Linked DNA regions of Coturnix japonica. The main gene of each other region encodes a partner of the protein of the gene in region 5 in a complex. Links are inferred from orthologs where the notes say so. Each region holds a gene or a part of one and is shown on either strand. Other genes may lie near its edges.

Evidence for each region.
Region 1: DRC3 (region 5) and GAS8 share a complex: the UniProt entries of both Homo sapiens proteins name them as parts of the nexin-dynein regulatory complex. The link is inferred for Coturnix japonica from reciprocal best matches to the Homo sapiens genes DRC3 and DRC4.
Region 2: DRC3 (region 5) and TCTE1 share a complex: the UniProt entries of both Homo sapiens proteins name them as parts of the nexin-dynein regulatory complex. The link is inferred for Coturnix japonica from reciprocal best matches to the Homo sapiens genes DRC3 and DRC5.
Region 3: DRC3 (region 5) and IQCG share a complex: the UniProt entries of both Homo sapiens proteins name them as parts of the nexin-dynein regulatory complex. The link is inferred for Coturnix japonica from reciprocal best matches to the Homo sapiens genes DRC3 and DRC9.
Region 4: DRC3 (region 5) and IQCD share a complex: the UniProt entries of both Homo sapiens proteins name them as parts of the nexin-dynein regulatory complex. The link is inferred for Coturnix japonica from reciprocal best matches to the Homo sapiens genes DRC3 and DRC10.
Region 6: DRC3 (region 5) and FBXL13 share a complex: the UniProt entries of both Homo sapiens proteins name them as parts of the nexin-dynein regulatory complex. The link is inferred for Coturnix japonica from reciprocal best matches to the Homo sapiens genes DRC3 and FBXL13.
Region 7: DRC3 (region 5) and EFCAB2 share a complex: the UniProt entries of both Homo sapiens proteins name them as parts of the nexin-dynein regulatory complex. The link is inferred for Coturnix japonica from reciprocal best matches to the Homo sapiens genes DRC3 and DRC8.

Annotation. Positions count from the first base shown.
Region 1 is NC_029526.1:16,811,066-16,813,817, reverse strand, and holds part of GAS8 (dynein regulatory complex subunit 4), read right to left. Parts: intron 2,422-2,752; coding exon 2,216-2,421; intron 1,935-2,215; coding exon 1,767-1,934; intron 1,407-1,766; coding exon 1,320-1,406; intron 397-1,319; coding exon 187-396; intron 1-186. UniProt on the Homo sapiens protein: Component of the nexin-dynein regulatory complex (N-DRC), a key regulator of ciliary/flagellar motility which maintains the alignment and integrity of the distal axoneme and regulates microtubule sliding in motile axonemes.
Region 2 is NC_029518.1:27,141,405-27,146,014, forward strand, and holds the start of TCTE1 (dynein regulatory complex subunit 5), read left to right. Parts: upstream 1-1,693; 5' UTR 1,694-4,610. Other genes in the region: AARS2 (alanine--tRNA ligase, mitochondrial), read left to right, coding at 273-356, 465-575, 949-1,113. UniProt on the Homo sapiens protein: Component of the nexin-dynein regulatory complex (N-DRC) a key regulator of ciliary/flagellar motility which maintains the alignment and integrity of the distal axoneme and regulates microtubule sliding in motile axonemes.
Region 3 is NC_029524.1:13,170,963-13,174,866, reverse strand, and holds part of IQCG (dynein regulatory complex protein 9), read left to right. Parts: coding exon 1-54; intron 55-363; coding exon 364-492; intron 493-1,958; coding exon 1,959-2,040; intron 2,041-3,904. UniProt on the Homo sapiens protein: Component of the nexin-dynein regulatory complex (N-DRC), a key regulator of ciliary/flagellar motility which maintains the alignment and integrity of the distal axoneme and regulates microtubule sliding in motile axonemes.
Region 4 is NC_029530.1:9,594,269-9,598,686, forward strand, and holds the start of IQCD (dynein regulatory complex protein 10), read right to left. Parts: upstream 3,132-4,418; 5' UTR 2,480-3,131; coding exon 1,859-2,479; intron 764-1,858; coding exon 530-763; intron 1-529. UniProt on the Homo sapiens protein: Component of the nexin-dynein regulatory complex (N-DRC), a key regulator of ciliary/flagellar motility which maintains the alignment and integrity of the distal axoneme and regulates microtubule sliding in motile axonemes.
Region 5 is NC_029529.1:4,996,590-5,000,493, forward strand, and holds part of DRC3 (dynein regulatory complex subunit 3), read left to right. Parts: exon of another isoform or gene 1-375; coding exon of another isoform or gene 376-454; intron 455-938; coding exon 939-1,105; intron 1,106-1,696; coding exon 1,697-1,843; intron 1,844-3,003; coding exon 3,004-3,123; intron 3,124-3,904. UniProt on the Homo sapiens protein: Component of the nexin-dynein regulatory complex (N-DRC) a key regulator of ciliary/flagellar motility which maintains the alignment and integrity of the distal axoneme and regulates microtubule sliding in motile axonemes.
Region 6 is NC_029516.1:11,600,337-11,605,013, forward strand, and holds the start of FBXL13 (dynein regulatory complex subunit 6), read right to left. Parts: upstream 2,910-4,677; 5' UTR 2,877-2,909; coding exon 2,802-2,876; coding exon of another isoform or gene 2,774-2,801; intron 1-2,773. Other genes in the region: ARMC10 (armadillo repeat-containing protein 10), read left to right, coding at 3,202-3,367, 3,965-4,113. UniProt on the Homo sapiens protein: Substrate-recognition component of the SCF (SKP1-CUL1-F-box protein)-type E3 ubiquitin ligase complex.
Region 7 is NC_029518.1:31,176,318-31,180,793, forward strand, and holds the start of EFCAB2 (dynein regulatory complex protein 8), read right to left. Parts: upstream 3,018-4,476; 5' UTR 2,691-3,017; coding exon 2,666-2,690; intron 2,467-2,665; exon of another isoform or gene 2,445-2,466; intron 1-2,444. UniProt on the Homo sapiens protein: Component of the nexin-dynein regulatory complex (N-DRC), a key regulator of ciliary/flagellar motility which maintains the alignment and integrity of the distal axoneme and regulates microtubule sliding in motile axonemes.

The DNA.
Region 1 (2,752 bases), on a different chromosome or scaffold from region 5:
AGGTATGTAACAGTGCAGAGAGAGGACAGGGACTGTCTCCTGCCACACAACCAGGCTCTGCCCTTACGCTGCCCATAGACCTCAGAATTTGACGACGCTCACATCTCCAAGGTTTGCATTTTCCCCAGAGCAGCCTCTGCCCTTCAAGAGGGGGAAAGGAGAGGGCCCTGCACCAGTGCACAGTACCTCCAGCTTCTGTGAGACCAAGGAAAGGGCTCCTGGATCGAGTTTGGAGGCTGCAAAGACCTCGCTGAGCTCCACTTCCTTTTTCTCCAGGACATCGAGGAGTCCTTTCAGCTTGCGTTCCAGGAGCAGGTTCTTGAACCCAGTCTTCTGCTGTACTTCATGAATGGCTTTGGTGAACTTCTGGTAGAGCTCATCTCGCTCTGCCTGCACCTGCTCCAAAACATGGCACAGCTTTACACCATCCTCAGGACCCTTTGGGATATCTTGGCTTGCTGCAGCCCCCCCCACCCCAGCACTTCCTGAGCTCCAGAAGGGAGTAAATTGGCCTTCGCTGTCCTCCCACAGAAGCAGAGACCACGCTCTGCTCAGCCTGGCCTTGACTCCATCCTCCTCTATGCTCTGTCCCAAGGCACTATTTTGGACCACAGAGGGGCCCCAGCATGCAGGGGTCTCTCCTCCCATCCTTGCAGCTGGCAGGAGTTCCTGGCTTACAGCTAGTTAATAAGTGTCCTAATTAGAATCTCTCCTCCAAAGCCTATTTCTGACTGCACTGAATATGTTCCTGCCTTAATGATGGATTGTTAACGAGGCCTCAGATCAGTGTTCATATTCCTGGGGATTTCTACGAATTGCAAATGAGCTCTGTTCTGCCTCAATGCATTTATCTGGGTTAGCTGCAAGGGAGAGGCTCAGTCTGGGAGAACTCAGTCAACAGAATATTCCTTGAAGAGGCTGCACGACAAGCAAGGAAGTGACATCCACATGCTAGCAGAATGAGGGAAATACTGTCCCCATATCTCTCTCTGCTGTAGCAGAAGCCTCTCTATGCAGCTCCACTCCTGACCCAGTGCCACAGCCTCCCACCAGCAGGCCAGGAGGGGACCATCAGCACACGCATGATTGCTCAGTGAAGTACAAGGCTGAGCCTGTCTGCTGAGCACAGGAGACGCCAAAACTGTGATAAGCCTTGTTGGAAGTAGCAGCTAATGCGCCGCTCTGGATTAGAGATTTGGAAAGCTTCCAGCTCAGTACAGCACAAAACAGCCTCTGCAAAGTCCTAGTGCCTAAACCTCTATATGGGGACAGGGTTTGGAGAGAGAAACAGGATGGCCAGACCCACCTGCAGATCTCACCTTAGAGAACCGCTGCTCCAGCACTTCATGTTCCCATTGAAGGTCTTTCAGTTCCTTCTGGTTGATTTTCAGATGGGCTTTTGTGTTCTGCAAGTAGGAGGCAACAATTACAAGACTTCTCTGGGAGATGGGTGTTCTGTGTTCTGGCAAGGGGGAGAGCAACCAGCAGAAGAAATGGGGTTGAGAGAACACAAGCTACAGCCACACCAACACCCTTCCCTCTCTGCAGCAGGGTCTGCTCTTCTTTCTTGCTGCCAGAGTTCTGGAGTCCTGTCTGAGTTCTTACACGCATCCAAATAAGCTGAAAGGGACCCCAGTGCATTTGCCCAGCAGTCTGGCCGAAGAGCTCTCAGCCGAGCGGCAGAGGTCACTGCTGAGCAATGCCAGGAAACAGCCAAAGTGACCCAGGAAAGAATAGAAAAGGGCTCAGCAGGGCTGGCAGCTCACCATCAGAGCCTCCTTGTCCTTATCGTAGTGGGCCAACTTCTTCTGCAGCTCAAACACCAGCTCCTGGGCCTGCTGCAGGGTCTCCTTCAGTTGCTTGTTCTGAAGCAAGGCATCTGCCTTCTCCTTCTCCAGTTGAGTTTCTCTCTGCTTCGCCTCCTCCACCTGTTCCTGTTTTTGGGAACACAAGTGCTAGTTCCTATAGGCAGGGTCTGCCCAGCTCCTCACAGCTTCCCAAGTCCCAACACCCTCCCAGTGCTGGCCCAGCAAGCCACATCTCTCTGTGTACAAGAACTTTGCTCATGTAATGTCGTACAACTCCCAGGAAAACAGGAGTGCCAGGACTTCCACCAGGGAACTGGCCAGATCTGGGGCAAGTTACTGGACCAGCTCCCTGGTGACACTACACAACAGGGCTGCAGCAGCGGGGTCAGAGAGCAGGCAGGCATTACCTTCAGCAAGCTGACGAGCGCCAGGTTTTGGAAGGTGACATCTTCATGGTAGTTCTTGAAGTCATGGAAGGCTTTCTCATGGTTCTTCATCAGCTCACTGATCTGGTTGTTTTTCCTCTCCTCGACTTCATGGATCTCAGTCTTTCGGCGCAGGTCAAGCTGATCCCGCAGAGCTTGCATCTTCCTGTTGTACCTGGCCTCCATCTCTGGGGAAGTGCACAGGGGGCCGAATGAGACCCTCCCACAGAACCTAGGCTCTGTTAGCAAGCAGCAGCCCAACATGTGCCACTGCAGCACTGCTCAAAGACAAGATGCTTGTTAACAGCCCCACAGCAGCTGCCACCAGCACACGGAGCAGTTACGTTGGGACCATGGAGAGCAGAGCCCAGAAATAGCATCCTGGAAACAGGGCATGGAAACGCTCCAAGGCAGCCCGTGAGAACCTGATGCGTCCCCTGAGGAGAGCACTGGAGCCAGGACTTAAATCTGAAAGGACTCCTCCAGCCACCCAGCCAGGCAACTGTGCTCAGCAGTATG
Region 2 (4,610 bases), on a different chromosome or scaffold from region 5:
ATCCTGCCATGGAAACCTACCTTGATACATGTGGCAGTGCAGAGGCCAGGGAGAGAGTCTGAGAACTGAACGTGTCACTGTCCCTTCTGAAATCTGCTTGCTTTTGAGGCAGGAGGATTGTACAGGTCTCCAGACATATGCTAACATAAATCTCCCCTGTCGTACAGAACAGCACTTGCATTCCCTGTATACGTGTGTTGCAACTTATATACCCCTCCCGGTCACCCTGTGCCACCTGTAGCCCTTCAAGTGCTGTGTGTTTCTTCCTCCAGGCTGAAGAGAAGGCACAAAGCCTGCTAGCAAAACACTGCAACCAACCTGTCATTATTGATACTGTCCCAGCAGACTCCCTGTCTGTAAGTAAAGCACATTATTTGTTGGCCCAGCAATACTTAAGATGCTGGATGCAGCCAATGGTAGCTACGCAGCAGTCTCCTGACTCTGCCTTTTCCTTCCTCTCTTAGATCCTAATGAAGGTAGTGAACCAGCTTTGTGACAAGTCACCTGGCACATCAGTCCTGCTGCTCAGCCCTCAGGATTCTGGGGAGGTGCTCTGTGCCTGTCAGGTGTCCAAGGTAAGCAGAACCCTGGCAGAATCCCAGGGAAGCCTTCCTGCAGAGGAGGACTGGGTACACTACTCACTAGGTCCCAGCTGAATTTTTTCTTGGGTTTCTACCCAGTGTCACTGATGAGTTATGTTGAGGAATGACCCAAGATGACTGTACTGGGGCCAGATAATCTTTCAGTTTTTGCTGGGCACCAATATCCCTGGGTCATCCAAGACATGTTTGCCCAGTGGTAGGATGTAGAGCTAACACGTAAGCTCAGTCTCCTCTCAGTCATGTCTTCCCCAGGTAGCGAGGGTCCAGGCTGGGTGAGGGGAGAAAGATGTTCCTTCTTCCATGCTGCAGAGTGCTCCACAGACCAAAGTGTGTGTCTCTTCCCCAGAATTGCCTCCCCATGTTCTCCGCTGCTGACTGGGCCGTGGCTGTCTGTACACAGATGGAAGGCAAGGCAGGAGGTTCTCCTGTTGTCGCTAAGGGCAGTGGAAATGCCAAGGGCATGCAGGGAGCCCTGACTACTGCACTGGAATTTGCTCAGAGTAAACTCTGAAATGTGTGTGATGCTTTGGTGGCAGGACAGCTGTAAGCTGTGTGGATACTTGATGCAGAGTGCACGTTATACTGTGCAGAAGGTTTGACAATTCTCACAGTGAGCCCTGCTGCAACCACTGCATTGGAGCACTTGGTGTCTGGCCATCAGGGCTGAGCAGTGTCTGTTCCTGAAAGCACTGACAGAGCAACGCTGTATGTTCTCATCATGGGTATATGGTGATTGAGCCTCAGAAGGCACCAGCTTCTGGAACAGTGCAGTTCTTGCCACAAGACCAGCACTGGGAGGTTCTGAGAACATGACTGTCGTATCCCAAAGTTATTAAAGGATGGAGAGTGTTTGATCCCTCTAATGTTATGTTGGTGTTTTGTTTTTCTTCATATCCGCACCTTTTTCCCTGTAAGCCCAGAAAGCTTATATATGCTGTAAAAATAAATATATGCTGTAGTCTAAGCAGTCCCATCTTGCTAAAGGATACACCAGTCCCTGATAAAAATGCTACAGTAACTTAGAAATGGGAAGAGAAGTTCTTGCCTGTGTGCACAACCTTTTGCCTAGCCTATGCAATGGTTAGTATTGTAGTCAGGCCTTTTTGTTAAAGCACAAAGGGAACAGAATCATCCTGACCTCCACCTCTTTGCTCTGAGTGCACATTCTTACACATTTCTTACTTCTGCTCCTTTTTAAATCCTTTCCTCTCAGGTTGCTTCCTCAGACTTCCATTGTTAGAATGACGCCTGGAGTTCTTGGCCAGAAAACCTTTGTGTTACAAACTGGCCTAAATAGAGAGGTCATGGGTGGTAGCTGATAGGGAGGTGCAACTGGGTAGTGATACAGAAAGGCTTCACCCTGTGAGCAAGAACAGCAACCTGGCACAGATGAATTTCAGCAGCAGATAGGGCTGCCTGGTGTGGTGGAATTAGGAGGCAATAGCTACATGCTTTAGGGGGTGGGAAGAACAGTGATGTTAGTGGGTGAGGAGCAGAAAGAGGGTAGTTATGTTAGGATGTTTGATGCTATGGAGGAAGGGTACCCCCACAGTGGTGAGGCTGATGAGCTAGGAAGTGAATTTTTAGCAGATTTGGTAGACTGATACAATAAGCTTCTGGTAGCTGAGAGCAGACTGTTAGGTGGCCGAGGTAGGCAGGGTTCTAACAGTGCTGCATGGCTGGAACAGAACTGAGCTTCACGTGCATGACCCAGCAATAACCCTTTGGTCAGAGGGATACAGCAGTGCACTTGCACACAGCTGCTACTCTCAGCTTAGGTTTGTAGGGCAAGCTCAGCAGGCTGATATATTTGCCTGTTGCTCAGTTGTCACATAAATAAGGCAAAGTAAAGAAGATATAGTGGGAAATGACTGCTGTGAGCACGGCCTCCTCTCCTCAATGAACAACAGTTGACCCAGGGGAGAAAGGTGGTGGATTTAATTGTGTTTAGAGGATGAGGGATTTCCTTCCTCATCTCAGCAGCTGTCCAGTCCCAATTCTAAGACTTAGTGTCACTCCTACACGTCTTTTCTTAGTACCTGTGGCTGTGTAAAGAGCAGGAGCTCGCACTTGGTTAAGTGCCTGATATTGATATGAGGTTGGTGGTGCTCCATACTATCTTGCGTTTCACCATAGTGCTGACAGCCCCTACATCTGCAGCAAGAGGATAGACCTTCTCCTCCATTAATCATTACTTCCATCCAGGGAGTTTAAGGTAGAGCTTTTAGTAAAGGAGACAGCGAGCCGAGGTTCCTGGACATCAGGATGACTGGGACAGTTCACGCCATCGGTTAAAAATACTGTTAATGCCTGTTGTGGAACAGCTGCTGTGTTTCATCCCAGCCACAGCAGTACCAGGTATGGGGAAGGGAAAGGATGCTCTGTGTTACTGGGAAAATGCTTTTCTTGATTGCTTCCTCATTCATAAAAGCTGCTGCTAGAGATGATGCCTCCTCTTGGTACTGGAGAGTAGGTGTGTGAGGAGGAGGAGAGGCTGAGCTGCTTCTGCATCATGCTCCAAAAGCAGAGCCTGAGCTTGCCAATAGCAACCTTATGGATTTAACCTCCCTTTGTGCTTTTTTTGTTGTTTAATTTCAACTTTAAAACTACTGGCACCTTGTAAATTGTTGCCTCACCCCTTGATGTGCAGGGATCCGTGTGCTGACCTTCAAGGTAATGTCTCTGCAGGCAGAGAAAGTGCAAGTCAAGCCCCCACCAGTGTTCACCTGGCCAGCCAATGGCTGCTGCAGCAGTGACTTCCAGAGCAGTGGTGGTGTCCTCAGGGGCTTTTTGAAGGACTCCTCTCCACTGCAGGATCTGATGGGCTCTCAGCACTGGGGAAGGAGCCTGCTGAGATGAGTGGGCAGCAGTGACACAGCTTCATGGCTTCCTAGCTCTGCTATCCCCCTCCTGTATTCTATGGGAAGAGTGGCTCCCCAGATACAAGGTGGCAGAGCCAATCCCACCATGAGAAATAAACCCTGGGTGTCCTGAGCAGAGGCACTAAGGAAAAGTTTCCTCTTTCTGAGCCTGCAGGGATTTAGATGGGTCATCAACAAGGTTGCAGCACAACCAAGTTGTGATCTTGCTGTAACTCTGTAGCACAAAACCTGCTATGTAACCGAAAGAGAGAAAGCATCTCATCCTACCAAAGAGCAGCTGTGTGGAGGCACCGGTTTGGTAGCATGGGCTGCTGCAGTAGAAATGCTGGTTTCTGAGATGTGGCTGTGCTGGACCATCACTGATCCTAAAAGAATAAATTCCATGCTATTCTCCTAAATCCCAGTGTACAGGACTACATCCTCTTCCTGCCATTTTTATTCCACAAGACAACACGCATCCAATGCTACGGACATAGCCACCATCTTTCTGTATTTTAGCAGTAGGTAGAGCAGTGCTCAGCTAGGAGAGCTGGAGGGGATGAAACATGAGTTTTAAATATAGATCTCTCGCCAAAATAGCAGCTTGCATTCCCTTACTAGAGATCTAAGGTGCAAGCAGTTCTCTGTGCACGCGTTGCAACTCCAAACAGCACGGGCTGCATGCACACACACACACACAGGACAGTGAAAAGCAGGAACTAGTTAATAAGTGATGAGTTTTTTTTTGCTGTGAACAGGTGCTGTCAAGTAGGCAACTGCTCTGTAAGTCCAGATGGACCCCCAAGGTCCTTGAAGGGCGCATGTGAGTGCCGGCCCGAATTCCAGGCAGCTACCTGACTTTGTGTGAAGGACCAACCACACACATTAGGCCTTGCCTAGCTGGAAGAGCTGCACAGATGGGATGAGAGCTGGGGCTCTGCAGGCTACATAACCCTCTAGCCTAGCAGCCATGGGTCCCTGTCCTGCTCTCTGATAGAGCAGCAGACCCAGCACAGGGCTGGGGTTGCAGGGTAGGGAGCCCTAGATGGATTGGGAGTATCTCCAAAGAGAGCCTGCTAGGGAGGGCATCAGGAGTACCTGAAAGGCAGCCTGCAGGGAGAGATAGGACAAGTCACTCAGGGTTTGC
Region 3 (3,904 bases), on a different chromosome or scaffold from region 5:
CACGAAACCCAATGCTCCATCTGCAGAATATCTCAGAAAAATTCAGGCTGACAGGTAAGTGAAGCACAAGTGTGATGCCTGTGCAGGATGCTCAGAGCTGTAAAGTTCTCACTTTACCTCTGCAAAGCAAAATACAGGCTTCTCATCCTCCCACTGCTAGTGTTCCCCAGTTGTGGCTATATCTAAGAATGGCTATATCTAAGGGGAGCACCATGGCCTTGCCATGAGATCTCATGATCTCAGTTATTCTGTAGGGTACACAGAAGCCCTATGGCAGTAGGGCAATAATTGATAAAGGTGCCAGACTCCGTGTTATCAGTGTACACCTATACATTACTGTTGTGTTCCTTTTCTCCCTGGTAGGCAGTATGTGAGTGATGTAATTACAGCCACTATGAAGAAGATGGAGGAATCGGGAACATTTGATAGCCTAATAGAAGCTAATGGGAGAGAGAAAGCAAAGAAAAGCAACTTGAATGACATCCTCATCAGGTCAGAGTTGTGCTTTGTACTTTTCTGATTAGTGACCTAGAGCCAAAGCTCATTTTCCCTCATTATACAATGTAAAAGGAAAACAAAAACAAACTCTACATCAAGATATGGAAGGGATCCCTTTTCAGCTTGAATTATCCTGACTACTTCACAAATTGCATTTGCCCTTGGAGAGGAAAATAACTGACTGTAATAATACTAATCTGACTTGGGAATTGCCTGAGCTTGGACCACAGCGGACACCAGTGTCTGCATTGATGCAAACTCTGCTCCATATCAATTAAAACATAATGTGATGGAGGAGTTTTCTGACCTTCAACTCCTTGTCCCCAGAGGAAGCCAGAGTAGCAAATAATCTGCTCAAACCAAGGTCAGCAACATACGGACTTGAGGTTATACGATGCCCAGGAGAATCTGCTTTGACCCAAATGCTAATGTGCTCCCTTTTTCCAATGCAGGGTTAGCACAGATGGTGGCAGAGGCAATTGTCTTTTGAACGTGAAGCCCACCACTTCCAGCATCTAAAACCAAGGGATTTATTGTTTCTCCAAGGAAGGGTCAGAAAGCAAAAAATGAAAGCAGCTGTTGCTTGTGGAATCCCTGTTCAACACTGGAGTTAGAAAGGGGGCATACAAATTTTAATCATTTTTTTATTCCATTATATCAACCATATCTAAGCACTGTGCTATCTGTTCTACTGCACATTCTTTTCATTGAATGAACTTGATCTGTATTTAAATATACCATATACTTGTCTGGTTTTGTGTCAATATACCAGTCTGAGAGCAGTCTGCAGTAAGGCTGAGACTCCTTATCAGGAGCTCCTGTAGCAGAGTTGCCCAGCTAAGTACCTAAAAAATGAAATGCATGTTTGCCTGTAAAGTGGGGGTAGGGTACAAAGCCTCAGGCAGCAACTCTTCTTACTGGCTTTAGATCAAACAATAAGCATAAAAGCTTGGAAAAGCCCTCAAAGTGAAGTAAAATAATGAGACCTACAACATTATCTCATCCTTTTTGCTTTAAACTGTCAAACTCCCCTGTAGGTTTTGGCCTGGCTCTCCCTGTTTTTGGTTCACTTTCCCTTTCATTCCCATCCTCCCTATTCAATCCATACATCTCTTCCTTCAGGATTTACTTACCAAGTCACTAACTTTGTTGAGAGATCCCTCTGATCTGGAGACGTGCTGCCTTCAACACTGAACTTCAGAGTGAAGACACAAATACCTTTTCTGCTCCTCAGACACTGGGAGCAGCTGCAAGCTTTTACGCTGCACTGAAGCAGGGCAAACTTCTCACTTCTTTTAGTTCAGCTGTAACAAAGGTGCTGGATGAGCAGGTTAATTGGGGCAGCGTTCACTAGGTGCAGCAGTGTATAAAGAATCTGAAAACTCCCTATCTACGTACACAGCTCATGGGGTGTTTTTTTAGATGCATTCAAGTGACTGTATTCTCCCATTTTCCTTCAGGGAAGAGGAAGGAAAGAAGGAGATAAAGTCACTCCAGAAACAGCTGCAAGATGTCAAGAAAGAAACTGAAATAGAACTTCAGGTGAGATTACTTAACACCAGGCATCATGCCAGGGGGAAGTGTGTTAGCAAGCTTGCTCCTGCTGCCCAGGAACTAGTGCTCAGATGAGAGGACACAGCATATGTAGCAATCCATCATTTAAGAACATAGTATAACTGCAGCACAGACTTACATTCTGAATGTAGTTATTGATGAATTTAAGAATGCTGTTCAGTGCTATTCAAGCAGAAACTCAAAGTGCTTATAATTGTGAAAGGCTGTGAGGAAGTCAGAACACCTCAGAAACACTGCAAAGCAAGGACATGAGTGAGTGCTGCTACATCTGCAGCCAGGAAGGAAGAGATGAGCTGCAGACAGCAGGATCTGAGGTTCGGTCATACTTAATGATGCAGACATGACACCTAGCACAGAAGAAAGACTGACAGTGAGGGATTAAGAAATAAAGTGTCAGAATTGGCACAAGGACACGCTATTTTTCTACCTGCAGTTTTGTCAGGGGAAAATATTGTAATTTGCATCTATTTCCTAGGCTTCCACATACAACAAAATCCCAAATACACGAGCCCTGTGCAAGGGCAGATCAATGTTACTACACACACCCCATTGACTTTATCTGTGTGGAAAGCTTCAGCCTTTCTGTCTGCAGCGTGTGAATTGTCTGTGCACACACAGTAAATCTGGGGCATTCTGGACACATCAGACTTGCTGCACAAGTGCAGATCAATTAAATGGCATATCCCTGGTCACCGTGATGCTCACCAGACAGCTCAGACTCAATGGTCATGCATGCTTAAAAAAAGCACACAGCTCGGTGCAGAAACATGCAAGCTTAACCTGTTTCTGCTGAGGTGAGGAAGAAGAGTGTGTGATGAGATACAAGCAGAAGAAAGGCCAGGTCAGAGCTATATAAGGCTTGAAAGAAAAGAATCTGGCACTTTGTCCTGCCTTGCAGCTCTCCTAGCTCTAAGTCATACAAACATGTAGCTCCCACGCTGAAGACATGCTCCTCTCTGTGTGTTTTAGTACCTTCTGCTAATGTGATTCTTGCTTTCTGCCTCATCAAGTGGGATCTGCGCTCATCTGGGATTCTGGTTTTATGTTTCCAGCTTAAAAGTCATTTTCTGGGCTTCCTTATAGCTTCAGCTTTGATAACAAATCAAAGACGAGACGACTTTCAAGTACTGCTTTCCTCCTGTGCCAAAAATATCGGTGTCTCACTCAGTCTCCCAAGGGAGAATAATTTCTATTTGCTTCATATGGGATTTCCCCATAGGCAATTTTACAGACACACAATTATTTGTCACCTCGCCAACTAATTAGGAGCAGAAATACAGCTTGCTGATTTTGGACTATTCTGAACAGGAATAATACACAGACCTGTAGACAAAAGCCTACATGGTTGTCTCCAGTCCAGTGGCTGGGAACACAAAACCAAGCAAATCTCATCATGGAACCAGAAAAACATGGTTTTTGCTTCACGCATGTTGCTTGTGTGTATTTTCAGCCTTAATGAGATGCTAATTAAGGCTGTATTAGCTGGCTCAGCTCATTTTTTTCTTCCTAATAGAACACAAATGAACTGCTAAACGTTTCCACTTCTTTTGTTTCCTTTTGGAAAACACGGATGTCTCAAAAGCTGCTGAGATGAACAGTCTGGTTATATACTTACCCTCCATACAAGAGGGTCTGTGATGGTCCTGGGGCCACGTCAGCCCCCAGAGCAGCTCAGCAGGACACAGAGCTGCTGCAGTAGAGCCAAACCTGGAAGCATCCAATGCCATCTAGTCCAACTCTCCTGCAATGAAGATGGACGTCACAAATCATCACTCCGGGAGGCTGGGTGACCTGTCAGCCCAGACATCCTTTCAGCTAAAGCATCACCGGG
Region 4 (4,418 bases), on a different chromosome or scaffold from region 5:
CATGACAAAGACGATATTAGGCCACCCAGGGGTACAGCACATGCTAAGGAAAGGGAAAGGGGATCTCTGTGGCCAGTAAATCTCTCTGCATGAGCTGAGCAGCTCCTCACAATGATCACTGCAGCAGCCTGGCTGCCTCAGGAAAGAAAAAAAAATAGAAGAAAAAGAAAAAAGGCTGATAAAGCCACAGCATTAAAGGAGGTGCAGTTGGATGGCTCTAACTTGCATTTGATGCTTTGTCACCTGCCCAGCCTCTGCACTTTGGCTAGAGCACAACCTCCCTGTCGTGCAGCATCACAGCACTGTTTGAGGAACTTCCAGAGCTAGGTCAGGGAACAAGAGGAGGAACTGTGAGCAGGCGACTTCCCCAGCAGCACTGCAGGCTTCCTTTCTGCTGAAATCAGCAGAGCACGAGGACAGCACAGGTATATTCTGACAAACAGCGTGTGCATCCTGCCAGGAAATGGTAGGAACAAAATAGACACTTGCAGCCACACCAAGCAGCTCTACAACAGTTCTGACCATTTACCTTCCTGAGAGCCAGCTCTGATACTCGATGCTCCAGGATCAGCTTATTGAGCTGTTCCTCCAGCTGCTGAATGTCCTGCTGTAGCCTGGCACACTTAGCCTGGGAAGCTCGCAGCTCCTCTTTCTGCTGTTTTTCACCTTCCAACTTGATCTGCAGGAGGTTGTCCTTGCTGCATTCATCTACAGTTTCCATGCTGTTCTTGAGATCTTTGATCATATTGTCCTTGTTCTGGATCTAGACACAGAAAACCAGAAGGAAATGTCAATAGGGTGTGCAGGTGAAGCATAAAGTGGTCAGGAGGAAAAAGACACAGTCGCAAAGGTGGAGGTGATCTAAGAACAGGGACCTGGCACGACCAGATGAGGGAACAGAGTCAGATTTATGCAAGGTGCTTGAACCTGAGAATAAAGCCATAGAATGACCAGGCTGTACTGAGACTCACTGACACTGCAGGGTAAAGAAGCCGGCCTTGTCTCAAGAGGAGCCAAGATCATCCCTTTGGCTTCAGGTGAGGCTTGGATTGACTGCCTGGAGGACACAGCTCAGAGGGGCTGCCAGCAAGAGAGATCCTCAGCTGGGGGCAGTGAAACACACTTGTTATGCACTGGTAAGAAAGTGAACGTAAAAATCTCATGTGTCTCAATTCACAGACCTCATCTCCATCAGAACCATTCGGTGCAATGAGCACGAGACAAAACCTTCCCCTCTGAGCCCTCCTGCAGAAAGAAGACAAGCACACACATAAAACAAGGGATGGCTTGTCAGGAATCCAGGACTTGAATTCTGGCTCAGCTCATGGACTCACAAAAAGAACCTGGGAAATGCCCATTAGCTAATCCATCCAGCTGCCTTCACTGGAAAAGAAATGGTGTCATCACACATTCATTATAGATCTCCAAGGTAGCCAGTATTGGAGTTGGAAGTCTCACAAATGTTAGTTTTAAGAGCGAAGGTAGAGCTGGCATGAAAAACTGATTTTAATCAGAACAATCTCTCCCTGGAATGACTGTTCATCATGTCAGCAGCAGTGAATGGAGCCTCTCCCTGGCAGCTGGCACGGCAGCCCTGCTAAAATACTACTGCAGTCATTTGTGCCTGTCCTGCAGCTCCTTTTTAAGCTCAATAACTTGCTCCATTGAAGTTGGCTGGTGAGAACAGGTTCAAAACATGCCAAGTTTCAACACGAAGCATTCAAGAAACATTTCCAAATTCTATTTAGAATCCGATTTTGAAATCATTTCTGGAATCTCCCCTTTAGGACCTGTCAGAAAGGGCTTGTTTTTCAGCTTTTGCTTCAGCGACCCTTTGTCACCAAGCATTCTCATATACCTCCTCATCTCGGGTCCTGATTGCTGCTGCCAGTTCTGCCTGCAAAGCTGTGATGGTTTCAGTGTTCTTGTTGATCCGGAGGGAGACGTCTTCCACCAGCTGAACTGTTTCTTCCTCTTCCTTGGGACTAATCAGGAGTCGCTCAAGCATAAAATTCCTGAACTCCCTGAAGGCTTTGATAAATGCTTCAGTTGCTGGCTCTCTTGCCCAGACTTCATATTTCAGAGCCTTACAAAGTGAAGGGACGGCCAAGAAGAGCCTGAGGATATTCCTAACAGAACATTTCAGTTGTTGTTCCAGCAAATGGAGAGCAACCCTTTGCTCCTCCTGTTTTGAGATGTCCCCTTCTTCAGCAGCAACAAGCAGCAGCTCCATTTGGTCTGAAAGCTTCTTGTACTCCATCAGGCTGGTTGTGATCTCAGGTCCCAGCAGGTCAGCAAACCTGTCCAGAGAGCCGATAATAAGTGGGATCAAGGAGCTCAGCTCCAACTTGGCGATGGTCTCATCCAAGACAGATAGGATTCTCTCTGTCTCAAAGCAATTAGGTTTCAACCGGCGTGGATCTAAGCCCTTCATGGAGTCCACTGTGGTCATCGCCTTCTCTGCAGCCTCTGTTCCCATTATCAGGATCTTGTTTCTTTCCTTCGTGTCCTGCACTGATACTCAGAGCACAGCTGGGCTCCCTGCTGCCACACTTAAACACTTAGGAGTGAATTGTTTTCACGTCTAGAAGGGACACAGCATCTCCTACACGGGGCAAGGCCCACAGTGAGAGACCACTGTTGCTTCTGCTGCAAAATCCTCTTTAGTTTTGATCTCTAAAAGGAAAATGTGAGGAGAATATGAGAGAAACAGCGTCCTTAGGGTGCTGGGGGGGGTGTCATATCACATGCTGTCAAGCACCCAGGGCCATGAGCACCCCTGTGGGGAGGGGGGACATGAGGGGCTCCTGGCCTTGAAGCCGGTGCGGTGAGAGCTCCCAGCTCCTAAGCAGCAGCTGTGGCAGATCAGGCTGTATCTCTGCAGTGCTCCAAGGCTGTGGTTGGGGGCTCGCAGCGCCGTGCGGCCTCCAGCCGAAGGAAGGCCGCTATGGAGCCGGACCGTGCTGCCACCGGAGTCCCCCTGTTGCTAGGATTCCGCTTGTTGCGGGCTCTTTCCCGACACACATCACGACTCGAACCACTCAGCGCCTTCGCTGTCTTGACGGGCAGCGCTATTACTCAATAGAAAACGAGGAGAGGCCTTGACGTAGCTGTGTGGCCATCTTAGGGGCGGTGGCACTCGGAGTGCCATAGAAAGCAAAGGGTGCCCCGGGTCCTTGTGTCCCTGCAGCCTGTTTGGTGAAGGAAGGGATTAATTGTACACACAGCTCCGGCCAGATGCTGTCTGCTCGCTGTTACAGGTGGGAGCTGGGTCCTGGGCTGGGTGTCAATGCTGGCTGATGTTGGAATGTATCCTGCCCTTGGCTCCAGCCTCAGCCACCAGCACCCTCTGCTGTTGGATGCAGGCAGCAGAACTGCATGGAGGTGTCAGGGCATTGAGATCAGAGCATGTGATTTTGATCAGCGTCTCCCAGGCTCTGATGAGCAGAAACCCTTGCAGCAAACTCTGCACAACCAGGTCTGGGAATCAGCCAGACCCAGCGTGCCAAAGGATGCAACACAAGCACTATTTGATCACACATGTGTCTAGATCAAACTCAGAAGCTCACAAAATGACAATTTCTCCCAGTGTTTTCCAACAAGGAAGACCCAGTGCAAGCCACCCCAGTCTAACAACCTCCAGGCTCCTCCAAAGCTGTGCTGCATTACTTGCTTGTTGCCACTTCCTTGTTTTTCAGCACACTTCTTAGATCCACTCCATCCAGTTGATGTAGGCAAACACCAGCCCATCTCCAATGCCAGCATGAAAGAAGCAATTTACTGTCTGTCCTGTGTGTGCCTTAAGTTACCAATCCTTTTCCCAGTGAAGGATCCATTTACACCCTCGGACTCTCTGATCCAAGCAGCCATGACACACGTTTTGCATCCTTTCCAAAAAGGAAAGACACAAGCCCCAAAATATCTTCTATTGGCTTTACATTACTTTTCTATTGCCTCAGAGGAAAGCAATCCTTTGGAAGGGTTTTTTTCCCCTTTACACCTGCGCTGCTACCCAGACAGTGCCCCCACACCACATCAGCTTCATGTATATAAAAGGAGGAACACCCGACAGCAAGGGACGGTGTTGTTTATTGTTATAGCAGGCTGGCTTTCAGGAAGGATGAGCTGAAAATCCAAGCACGTAGATGGAAAACGCAGCTTTCAGTGCAGCACAGCCTGCAGGAGGAGCTCTCTAGATGTTCTTCCCAATCCCTTCTCACTCAGCAGCGTTGTGCTGAGTCCCTGTGCTCGCAGCCTGGCCGGCAGCAGCAGGGGCAGACGACTTTCCACCTCTGCGGCTGATCACCTCCAGGGATTTCTCAAACCTTTCGGCTGCTTTCTTAAACCGTTCTATTTTTATCTCTTGTTCTTGCACAAATTGCTGCATCAGCTTTTGGTGGTGACGTTCAATCTTCTTC
Region 5 (3,904 bases):
TAACTGCAGCCACCTAATTGGGTGGCAGCGTAAATATATCCTTGTCTGCTGCTGAAAATAGCATGCAAGGCTTCGGCTCATAAGCACATCTCAAAATGTCTAAATGAGTTCTTCCGCTCTGTTGTCTGCACTGTTCCGCTGCACGGATGACTAATGCACTTGTGAATCACAGCAGATCACCACTGTGCGAGCAGTTTTTTGAAGCACGCTCAGGCATTGCAGTTTGCCCAGAGGTTCTAGTGGTTCAGCAGCTGCTGTGTATACGTGTTAGCTGCCCAGGGGCTGGGGTCACACCCATGACTGGTAGCCACATCAGCTGTCTGTGGAATCCTGAAGCACTCAGCTCCAACCTGAGGGTAAACACTGCCCTTACTAATGATGAATGTAGGTGTTAGCCTAGATGTTTTGGCAGGATGGGATGAAGAAATATGGACGAGTGAAATAGCTACAGTGAGTATGTGCCTTTGCATATCTTCATTAACAACAGGGTGGTGGTGAGCATTGAGCTGACATTTGCTTCTGGGGGAGTCACCATGATGGTAAGCTGTAGTGCAGCAGGCAAGAGTCTGCAAGAAACAATGCAGAGAACCCCAAATTTGTCACCAAAATGCTCCTTTTTCAGGCCACCTCTTTTCTTGTAGTTTGGGTTTCCTCTTAAGGCAGAACTCATTTTGAGGTTGTGGACCCTGCATGGAATGTCTTCAGCCATTCCTCTCATATACGTGTTTGGAGGAGATGTGTACATTGTTTCCTGATCCAGAAAATGGTGATTTCATGCTGAGCCTTTCATGTGGGACATTGAGCACCCCTGAGGAAAATACTGTGTATAAACTTCTAAATCAAGACTTAGGCTAAATAAAAGATCTGAATTGGGGCGTTCTGCTAGAAATTACTTAATTTTTGCTTATAAAACTTCTGATTTCTAAACTCTTCCCCAGACTTGTCCTTCAACAACATTGAAGTAATTGAGGGCCTGGATAACCTTGTCAAACTGCAGGACCTAAGCCTCTACAACAACAGAATATCTAAAATTGAGAACATGGACACATTGCGTGAGCTACAGGTTTTCTCCATTGGGAAGAATAACCTGACTACTCTGGAAAATGTGAGTGCTCTCTGGCTTTGGAATTGCTCCCTATCAAAGGATCAGATATTCCAGATCTGATGTTTACCACTGCTTCCCTTTGAGGAGAAAATTTTCCTTACGATTTCATTTCCTCTGAAGCCTAAATTATGGTTTAGGTAAACTATCCAGCTGTTAAGTGCTTACTTCAGCTATTTCACTTATAGGTTATTCACTCATGAGGGCTTAATTTTGTTACAGCTGTCATCTGTGGCAAAATTCCTATTGGTTCCCATGAGAGAAATAAATAGTTACATATGAGGAAAATAGAGAGTGGAGTTCAGGCTATATTTGCTGTTCTTTTTGAGGGTAGTTTAACAGCCTAATGCCCTGATTTGTCCACCACCCAACTAAAGGCTATCTCTCCATTCCCATCATTTACATAGTCATGATGTAAATTTAGGTATTTTCTTACCCCAAAGCATCAGAAACTTCTAATTTAGCTTTGCCTGTGTTTGGCAGCTAAGCACGATATGTACCGCAACATAATTGTGCAATTAATGAGCAATGAATTTCAAACCCAGCTGTTTCCACAGCACTGGTAAGCACAGCATCTCTTTCCCTTCCAAACAGGTGGTCTATCTCAGGAGGTTTAAGAACTTACACTCATTGAATCTCACTGGGAACCCTTTCTGTGATGAAGAGCAGTATATGCTGTTTGTTGTTGCTCACCTTCCAGGCTTGGTGTACTTAGACTTTAAACTCATTCCTGACACCACAGTAAGTATTTCTGCATATCCTTCTTGTGAAATCGGACATGAGTTCCTTACAGAGCACTGGATTTGTTGGTATGCTCACAATGTTCTATCATGATGGGCTGATTCCCTGGAGAAATTAGACCTATGGAAACACACACTATTTGTTCCTTCTCCACCTAACAGCTTTGAACCTGTAGGCCAAATTCTGTCAAATTTGACAGAGGTAGAGATGTCAAAGGTATTGTACCTTCACAGGTTTTGCAAAAGTCAGCAGCTGTGTGTGGGAGAGGAGCCTGCTTAATATTGCCACAGAGATGCTGCAGTGTGAGTGCAAGACTACTTAGAGATCAGAGAATCGCAGAGAGAGAATCTCAGAGGAGATCAATCTTGAGACATGAATTCAGAGGAAAGCAGGCTTGGTGGTCCTGCTGCTCACTGAGCTATTTGTTGCAGTAGTAGACTGACACGTTAATCAGGCAAGCAAGTGCCATCCAAATGCACTTTCCTTTCCTGATTTTGAAAGCAAGACTGTACATCAGCACTGGTAACCCATGGGGCTGCTTTCTGATCCCAAGGCTCATTTTTTCTTAATAATCAAAGAATATGTTTCATTTTAAGCTTGCTTGGCACAGAGCAGGAGCTGTTCTTGGAGTGTACATTACTCTTAGTATAGGACTGGAAGGGCTTTCCAGGTCATGGAGTCCAGTCCCTGACTCATACAGATAGTATGTCATTTAATTGCATGCTTAAATTTGTCAAGCTTCGATTGTGAGCTAATTAGGTTCTTGCCCCTGCTTCTATATTGCCATCCCCTCAGAAGAACCATCTTCTCCCCAGAAATTGATAAACTCAGTAACCAATTCATTCAGAGCTCAAATTCGAAGTCAAAACAGGGCCTCCTGCTAAAACAATCAGAAAAACAACACTAAAGATGAAGAAAGTGGGGGATTAAACACTGCTTGAGGCTGAATTGGATACACTGGGTGCAGAGGCAGAGTAATATGACAACAAAAATGGGGAGAGGAATAGATTAGAAACTTTAGAAGTAGTTTAATCGAAGGACCACAAAGAAATGGGGATGCAGATATCATTCAGATACACCTTCTGGAAAGATGGAATGCTTACACCTAGATTTGTTGGGCACTGTTGGGTAGTCTAATAATGTTTCTTTGCTTTCCTCAGCGAGAAGTTGCCATTTCAAATTACCAATACCTCACTGACCTGCTGGAAAATGAGGAAGCCGAGGCCCTGGCTCAGCTGGAGGAAAAGCAGGCACAGCAGAAGGAGCTGGAGTACTACAAGGTACTTGTTCTTTGGCTGGTTGTGTGCTGTCTGGGGAGGAAGAAGTGCAGCAGATATTGACTTCTCCTTCAGATGCTTGAAGCTCTAATGAGAGGTTAACACTGGCTGTGCTAACACTAAGGCTAGGATTAGTCTCTGATCTTTGAATCTCTTATTTTGAATGAAAACAGGAACTGCTGTGGAATACATATGATTTGAGGGAACATATTTCTTTTGGCTGAACAATCAGGCTGCAGATATAGACCCTTAGAAGCTAAATAGTAAATCGTGCCCAAGGATCTTATCAGCTTAATGTGAGATTAAGAAAATTACACATCTGAGGGAACTGTTAGCATTTTCATGGTGCAGTGACTTCTTTTCTCCTTCACACCAAGTTGACGCTTTTTATTAGTTTTATGGTTAAACTGTTCAGGGCTTTGAGATCACTGTAGTTCTCTGAGCAGCCTGAAAACCAGGCCAAGGAGAATGGTGATTTCAGCCACAATCTGGCTTTGTGCTCCAGCGTGCCGGAAGACCAGGCTGGCTGAAGAGCAGGAGGAGGTTAAGTGACGGGAAAGACACCTGCAGCTCTTCCTTCTGACCCTCCCCCAAGTCCACTCATTCTTTATCTGTGAGGCTGAATAGCCTTGTAACATATGGTTGTATGTGAAAATGCTTTATGTAAGATAAAACAGTGTTTTCTGTCCTTAGGCTAGAGAGTTCTAGCAGTAAATCCGCATGTGAACCAGGATGGTTTTCACTCCAGTTGCAGGGTGCTTTCACGACCTGGCTGGTGTATCTA
Region 6 (4,677 bases), on a different chromosome or scaffold from region 5:
ATTAATGCCTTTGTGGTAACAGTAAAGGATCATCTAAATGTGAAACCATTAAAATAAACTCAAGATTACAAGTTACTTTAAAAATATTGTAAAATAAGAGCAATTTTTTTATCACTTATATTTAATTTCATTTATATCTTTAATAGAATGTTGCATACATTAGAATTTTCAGTTGCCAGTCTTCAAAGAATCAGGTTTAGGACAGTAATTAAATACATGGTATCTCCACAAATATTCCTACTAGGAATTCCATTTTTAATATGCATCCAAGAAAGAGCATCCATAAGACAAGATAATTTTATTAATCTAATGAAAAACACAATTTAAAGCAAGATTAATTCTGTGCTGCATAGAGTATGTTGAATTAGGAAGCATGACCAGATACCAATCCTGTAACCAATACAAGATACTGATGATAAGATTTACGAATTTGCATTACATTTTAGCAGTGCTGCAGAATAACTGATGAGCAGTTTTTCTCACTTGTGTTCAGATGTCTTCATCTAAAATCTATAGCTCATTTACTTTTGGATTGTGAGTTCACCTACAGAACTTCTAAATTATATTGATATTTAAAAGCATACGGGTAAACTCTGGTTATTTAAATTAATATTATAAACTAGAAAGCTTCTATTTCCAGGTAAAGATTTCAGAACATGACTATGCATCTTTAATGAGATACTAATTCACATTGAAGCAAAAGATGTTATCCTGGGACTTACTCTCTTGTTTATAGTTCCCTCTGCTGGTTACCAATAAAGTAGCTCTTAACAGCACAAAAGCAGCATCTGAACTTTTAGATTTTCTTCCAGCCCTGACCTTTAAAAACCTGCTTTTCTTTGTCTCAACCCACTTCCCCCTACAGCTGTTCTCCATGGTGCAGCTGGATGGTGCTAACTCCCTATGTCTAATTTCTGCCATTCAGAGTCTGGGCTGACCTCTGGGAGTTCATCGCTCAGATTCTGACTGCAACTCACTATCATAGAATTATAGACTGACTTGAGTTGGAAGAGACCCCAAGGATCATCAGGTTCCAAATCCCTGCCACTTATCTTTATTTTTTCCAAACCATTTATTTATACATATGCATCCTATGGGTAAAAATACTTCATTTTCCAACATCCATGTCGATTTCCTCATGTTATTACTATGAAACAATGGACCTGTATAAATAACAAAATTTTTTTTTAAATAAATATAAAAGAAAGAATTATCTGAAGCAACTTCTTCATATGTGCTGGATCAACTCAATATCTTAATGTAATGGCTTTCTCACTGTGCTGACTCAAATGATTTGTAACTGCAGAGCAGCGTCAGGAGAGAGATCACTAACAGTTATAACATAGAAGCACAGTAATGGAGATTTTTGGCCATGAGGATGTGCTGTTTCTTTACGTACCTACAAGACCACTACAATAAAGCAATGTAAAACAGTTTTTTAATGCACAGACAATGAAGGACAACTGTCTTCAGTTTACACACACTGAATATTTGGTAATACTTCTCAACCCACTACTTACAACTTTAACATAACGTTCTTAATACAAACACAAGTTTCTATGTATACCTTGATAGGGGATTATATTAAGAAAATGTTATGAATCTAACAGTAATGTTGTCATTCATGACAAAAACACCATTTTAATTAATACCTAAGCTTTTAAATAACTTTCCTCAGAAGCTCTCCTAAAGACAGGTTTCCCAAAGCCAAGCCTAACGCTGCTCAGCTACTCCCCCTCCTGGATCAATCCAGTATCTGTCTGCCATATGAATTCCAGTTACTGTATAAGGCTTCGTTTACGCTCTTTTCTTTTTCCCTTGGATGTGAACACAACAGCTTTCTTTCCCTTTCATATCCTGAAAGGTCTAAAACACAGAATATACACAACAGCCAGCAGGGTGACCTAAACACAGCCTTTGAGGGAGCCTATAAACAGGAGGGGAGCCAACTCTTTGAAAGGGTGGCTAACAGCAGGACAAGGGGAAATGGTTTTAAGCTGAATTAGGAAGATTTAGGTTGGATGTCAGGGAGAAGTTCTTTACAATGAGAGTGGTGAGGTGCTGGCACAGGCTGCCCTGAGAGGCTGTGGATGCCCCATCCCTGGAGGTGTTCAAGGCCAGGTTGGATGGGGCCTTGGGCAGCCTGGTCTAGTATTAAATTGGAGGTTGGTCTCCCTGCCTGGGGTTGGGACTGTTGGAGTTTCATGATCCTTGAGTCCCTTCCAATCTGGGCCATTTATTTCATTTTGCCTGATGTTTTATGGTTACCGATTAAAGTAAATCTGGATGAGATCTGAAAGAGAGAAATCACACAGGAATGAAAGAATCCTACGCAGCCGGGAATCCTGAGTTATTTGGACATGACTATTTGGGCACCAACTGTGTGTGGATCATGTCCAAACCACAACATAACCATAAATGACTTCAGCAAATGTCCACTGTAGAACTTCATATCCTTCTTAATTTTGCGAACATTGACATAGATGTTAATAGAACTCAGCTTCGCTTCGGTGTGCCTTAATACTGAGGCCAGTATCATTTATCTCCATACAAACCTCTCAAAGAAATAACAATGTAGGCATCATTGAGCACCAACACCTAAGAAACGTGAAAAGAAAAGGATGAAAGGATCTTATAGAGTGATTTTATAACTGGTTCTTTCCCTTAAGAAACAGACTGGGGAAGTATCCTGAAGCCCCCAGCCCGTCATGCTGTGGCACAGCCCCACTCAGCGCTGCACAGAAGCTCCTTTACTCCTGTCCCATCACTCCACCTGAGTCCGGCTGCTCGGCGGCCTTTACCTCGTACACCCGGATCAGGCCGTGCCGCCTGAGGTAGTCGCGGAGCTCGGGGCCGCCGCCGCGTGGGGCCGCCATGGCCGCAAGGCGTCGCGGTCTCGTAGCAACAGGCTGAGACGGAGGTGCTGCCCCGGACCTGCCCGCCCCGCCCCGCCCCTTCCAAACGCGTTGGTTCACCGTGAAAAAGTGAAGGCAGCGAGTAGCCCTTGGGGGTTGTTTGTGCTCGGAGAGGGACTGGGGAGGGAGTGTGGTGTATATCCAGCACTGTGCTTTGTTAAGATGTCGGTACTTTCACTTTGTTGTTGTAAAAATAAGCCGAAGGAAGAGCCGAGCCGCTGCCGCCCTGCACGGGCTCACAGGCCGGGCCGGAGCCGCAGCCCTCAGCACGGCGGGGCGGCGCCGGATGCTGCATCGGCTTCCGCGGGCGGTAAAGATGGACGAGCGGCCCGGCCTGAGAGCGGCCGTGCTGGGGGTCGTGCTCGGAGCCGGCGCCTATTACTGCTACTGCCGGTGGCACAGGGCGAAGGGACGAGCGGGGCGGCGGGGAGAGACTCGTGTGCCGCCCTCAGGTGAGGAGGGGCCGGTGAGGATGTGGAGTGTCCTTCTATGGAGATATTCAATACCCGGCTGGCCGCCTACCTGTGTGACATGGTGTAGGGAACCTGCTTTGGCAGGGGGGCTGGACTCGATGATCCCTAGAGGTCCCTTCCAACCCCTTTAATTCTGTGATCCTGTGAAACATAGAACACGTTCATGTTTGTGGCCAGCAAGTCGAGGGAGGTGATCCTCCCCCTCTGCTCTGCCCCGGTGAGGTCCCATCTGCAGTGTTGTGTCCAGTTCTGGGCTATGTGGTTCACAAAAAACATGGAACTAGTGGAGAGAGTCCAGTGGAAGGTCATGAAGTGGGGGCCTGGAGCACCTCCTGTAGGAGGAAAGGCTGAGAGCTGGGGAAGAGAAGGCTGGAGGGGGATCTCAGCGCTGTGTATAAATGTCTGAAGTACAGGAGTCGAGTCACTGGGGGTAAAGTCTTTTCAGTGGCATGCAGCAATAGAACGAGGGCAATGGGGAGAAACCAGCAGAATTGCTAAACTCAACTTGCTAAAAAAGCATTCACTGGTAACTAAGTGAAATATCTCAAACTTGGTGTTATTTAATTTTTTTAACAGTGAGGGAAGAAATTCCTCCATCACCCCACAGCATGGATGCAGATACTTTACAGAAGCTTATTCATTTGCTCAAGGCCACAGATGATCCATTAATTCAGGAGCAAGCTTTAATCACTCTCAGTAACAGTGCTGCCTTCTCTGTAAATCAAGTAAGTGTTGTTCTGTAGAAAACAACAGCATTTCGCTACCAGTCAGTATGGAAAATGAAGGGTGCTGTTTTGCTTAAGAGTGTCACAAGATTGAGAGCTGGGTTAACCCGTGTTCTAAATCTTGTGTTTTATGTTTATGCTTTAATTTCCTGCTAGTCCAAGGAACGCAATTAACCACCCTCACAAGATTTATCTGTGCTTCATGTTTGTATACATTAAATGTACTTAAACACTGTACAGTGTCCTGTATTTTCAAAGTGCTCTAAATATGTATCTTTTCTTGCCTTTGGTTTTATGATGTTAATTAAAGGGTTGAATTTGATACAAGTTAAATAATCTCAGGATCCAATCTGAAATCTACTGAAATATTTTAAAGTAGCTTTTATGTTTACAGAGCTATGTGCCATTTGCAGCAGCTTCCCTGCTGTCTGTCTCTCTTTGATTCGGCTGGAAATATGATGCAGAAAAGCTTTGGCCCTAAGCAGGACTGTTCATAATTCCAGTTGAATTAAGATTCCAAGTCAAAGTGCAACGCAGTGATTACATGTCTTACTATTACCAAAC
Region 7 (4,476 bases), on a different chromosome or scaffold from region 5:
TTTTTGTACTGAGGTGCCCAAAACTGAACACAGTACTCGAGGTGAGGCCTCACCAATGCTGAGTACAGGGGCAGAATTCACCGAAACCTGGACAGGCTGGAGAGCTGGGCAGTAAGAAACCGGATGAGGTTTAACAAAAGCAAGTGTAGAGTCTTGCACCTAGGGAGAAATAATTGCATTCACCAGAACAGGTTGGGGGATGACCTGCTGGAGAGGAGCTCTGCTGAGAGGGACCTGGGTGTCCTGGTAGACGACAGTGGCCAAAAAGGTACATTAAAAAGAGCATGGCCAACAGGTCAAGGGAGGTGATCCTCCCCCTCTGCCCTGGTGAGGCCACATCTGAAGTACTGTGTCTGTATTGGGCTCCCCAGTACAAAAAAGACGGGGATCTCTTGGAAAGAGTTCAGCAGAGTTCATAAGGCTCTAGAGCAGAGGTAAAAACTCTTTCCCATCTCCACTAACAACCTTATTGTGAGTTTTTCACAAGTTGGGAAAAGGATCTGTGAGGACTAATGACATACTGCAGCAGTAAGTTAAATTCCCCAGAATCACTACTATTTACCAGAGAAAATCCTCATCAGAGAATGGCTATAAACCATCTCCTTAAGTCTTCACATCACAATCAGTTATGTTTCTGGAAGACCTTTGTTACCCAGAATCAGTCGTCCAGTTCTGTATGGGTATAAAGGTGTGCAACAGGAGCTCAGAATATTTCATCTACTTCCTTTTGGATTCAAATTCATGACTTATTAATTGTATTTTAAGTATGTGCTAACTAGCACAAAGAATACAGTGTGTATAAAACTCTCATACTGATCACATACACAGTATTACCATAATGATAAAGCCACACTGAACATTCTCTTTTATGTACTTCCATGTAATTTCTTAAATCCCAGCTGGAGAAAAATACGTCTTGTCTTCCATCTAGTTTTACTTCAGGCACTACTGGTCTGACATTTTACTTTCAGGTTCTAGTAACATCGGCACTGAGATCAGAGAGATGGAAACTTAGAAAATCTGACACGTTCTGTGAAATTATAAAGAAAGTACCTGAGAACAAATGGAAGAACAGACAGATGGAATTAAGTAGCAAAAAAGGGGAAAGAAACAGAACGATGGGAAGAAAGATACAGACAAATACACAAAAGAGAAAGATGAAGCAGTGTAATGTAATCAGATGGGAATAAAGAAAAAAAAATAATTAAATAACGTTGAAAGCACAAATGCAGGAATACAAATTCATGCATAAAACATACAGCTCCATATATCATGGGCATGATATTAGCACTCACACACATGCAAGATTTTATTCGCAATTATGTAAGCTAGAGGGTAACACATTATCAATGTCATGCAAAAGAGGCTGCAAGACTTGGCCTTACACTGTTTTTTCTTGTGTACATCCAGTATATCTGTTAAACATTAAGGTAAGCATTTTAACTTTGATGAAGACAAACTTGAAAATAATAGGACCTAAGGGAAACGTTTACCACAAAAGCAGGTGGAACTACAGTTCTACCAAGAACCAAGGGGAATACCCTAAAGACTAATTATTCGACAATAAAACTAATGCTGTTCTTCTCTTTGAGACACAACAAAGTAAAAGCTGCAGTTTGTGTTTATGTAAAATGCTTGTCAGAAGCACAATTGCTGCATGAATCCAGGATTTGAGGATTCTAATCAGCCCCCTAACTGCTACCTGCAGGAGGTCTAAGAGCAACTGACATGGAGATAAGCCATCTCCTCTTATGGGATGCTTCTGCACTTCGGTGAGACACTGAATATTAGTTTGCCTTGGTGATGAGACACCTCTATGAGGCATTAAGGAAATCATCTGCTCAATAAAAGTGTAGGATTCTCATGAGTGTCCAAAGGGAAGCTAGATGCCTTGTCTTCACACTATCCATGAGATACAAGTCATTGTCTTCTCCCTACAGGCAGGAAATCAAAGCCCAGCTTGCCACCTTCCTGTGATCTGTCAGGAAGGGCCAGGAATGGAATTCTTGACAGCACAGTTTCCCTCTAGCAGATAACTTGTGGTGGTCTCCTGGGAACAGCTCTTTACAGGATGATAAACTACCTCTAGTAATTAAAAAACAATCAACAAAAGGGTGTGTCTTCAGCAAGACGGCGCTTCAACTTCTTTAAAATTACATTCGAACTAAAAAAATGCATTAGAAGCTATTGATCAAGCAATCAGAAAAACTCCTCATTCAGCATTACCCACAACTTTTTGTTGTGGGTTTTTCACAGAAAATTGTGCTTTTACTCATTAATACGAAATAACTTATTAGTTACAGTGTTCTCAATCTGTGACTTATTACCACGTTCTCGTGTTTATTTACACAAAGGACGGCACTCAGAAGCGACACTGTTACGAGCTGCTCAGAGTGCACAACCTTCTGGAAACGACGCTGGGACACCCTTGCGGGAGGAGTTACCTCTCGCCTTTCAATCACACTTTCTGGCAGCGCTTCCTGAAGCAGAACACGCCTCCCTCTAAAAATAAGCCCCGGAGCCCCGAGAGTCAGCCGGGATCGCTTTTCCTTGGCGGAGGGCTGGCCCCGCCCCACGCCGTCACCCAAGGCTGGGCCCCTCGCTTCCCACTCCCAGGCGCGCTCCGTCCCGCAGGCCGCTGTGCAGGCCCCGTGCCCGGCCTTACCGTCACTGCTCACCGCCTGCGCCATGGCCGAGCCCCGAGCCGTCGCCGTGGCGACGCGGGGCGCAGCGGCCCGGCGGGCGCTCCCCTCCTTCCACCGCGGCCTCCCCTGGCCCCCAGCGCCAGGCCTGAGCTGGCAGCCCTCCGCCCTGGGAAGCAGTCACCGGGCCCGCTGAAATAAAAAGCATATAAAAGCTGAGTGAAGCAGTGCAGTGATTTTTTGAGTGCACTAACTACTGCACTGCGTGGTTTCAAGAGCAGTGAGTGACAGCCATAGTCCTGGGTGCTAATGCTCCAAAACATCCATCGCACCCAAACACGGATCCCAGGCATGGAGGCTGCAGCTGTAACCCACCACCCTCCCTCCCAGCTGGGACCAGTAATGCTTGGGGTGTCACTCCCTGTCATGGCAAAGTGACAGAACCCACCGCTGAAGACACACCTGGCACGGGTGGCATCGGCAGGCACAAGCACCACTGTCCTGGCAGGGAGACTTGGACGAGCCCCAGCAATCTGCTGGTTCACAGAAAAAAAAAAAGTCTTCCCAGCAATTGCAGAGATTTCTGCATCTGAGCTTCAGAAAGTGAAAGAACATTTTATTCTAAATATCGTCACTCTTGAAACAGCTAAAATATTCTCAGCGATATTAAATAAAACGCAGTTTAAATATAGCCGTGTATTTTAGCAGATGTACTTGCAATGCGCAGTTCTTCTGAACAAATGATTGTGGAAGTGGAGAAAATGCAAATATGAGCATACCAACAAGATGCAACCATATACTCATAGGAACTAATGTTTTAAGGAAATTCCTAGAACCAAAGCACTGTCTTCCCCGCAGTAGGCGCTATTTGTTTATACTGTTTATATTGTGCGTAGCTCAGAGTAAAGAGGGTATAATATAGGGTATAATATATACCCAACAGAGCGTACAGTGTTAGTCTCTTGGGAAAACAGCTGATTATGCTCTCTAACAAAGTTGATCCCTCCAAATGGTTACCTATAGACTTGAACAGTTTATTAAAGTAACTGAGTACTTCCAAGTATGTGTTTTGACTACATGGGTAATGTGGATTTGTTTCCTCTCAAGCAGATAACTGAAGTTTGAGTGATAACAGTGCAAAAGCCTAATCTAGAGAATGTAACAGTAACAGAAGGAAAGGCCATTATCTTTCACTGTGATGCAATCCCCTTTCTTGTTCCTTCAATGTCTCCAAACACAAAACCTTCGTCTTTGCTGGTTGTTGATCTGTTGTGGTAGATGTATTTGAAACTGAAGAACAAAATACATTGTTTGACAAACACAGAGCTTGCTTATTACTTCTCTCATCGTCTCAGCGTGAAATTTTATGTTCTTCAGTGTTGTGCCCAAGGATTAGATTCCCTGTGTCATTTTCCAGATCACCTGATTCATCACAGGACATGCAGAGCAATTCTACAAATGCTGATGTATTTATAAAAAATGAATGTTAGTTCAAAGTCTTCACAAGATTCCCCTAATGAATGCTTTAAAAACTGATTTTCCACTCATTCAGATTTTCATGCCCAGCCCATGCCCAAAATATGGACAACATTCATCTTTGAAATACATTTTGCTTGCTGTGGAAATTTGAGACTCTTGTATTTCTACAGCAGTTTTTGTGTAGATCTGAGCCATTGTGAACATGAAATAGTAAGAGTCATTTCACTCAGGCCACTTTATTTTATCATCTTCCCATCAATCTCAGCAGTATTTGGGCTTGGCTTTCCTCACACACTATATCTGACACACACTTATCCCAGTTTCCTCCAAGAGTTATGGTAGTTAAACAATAACG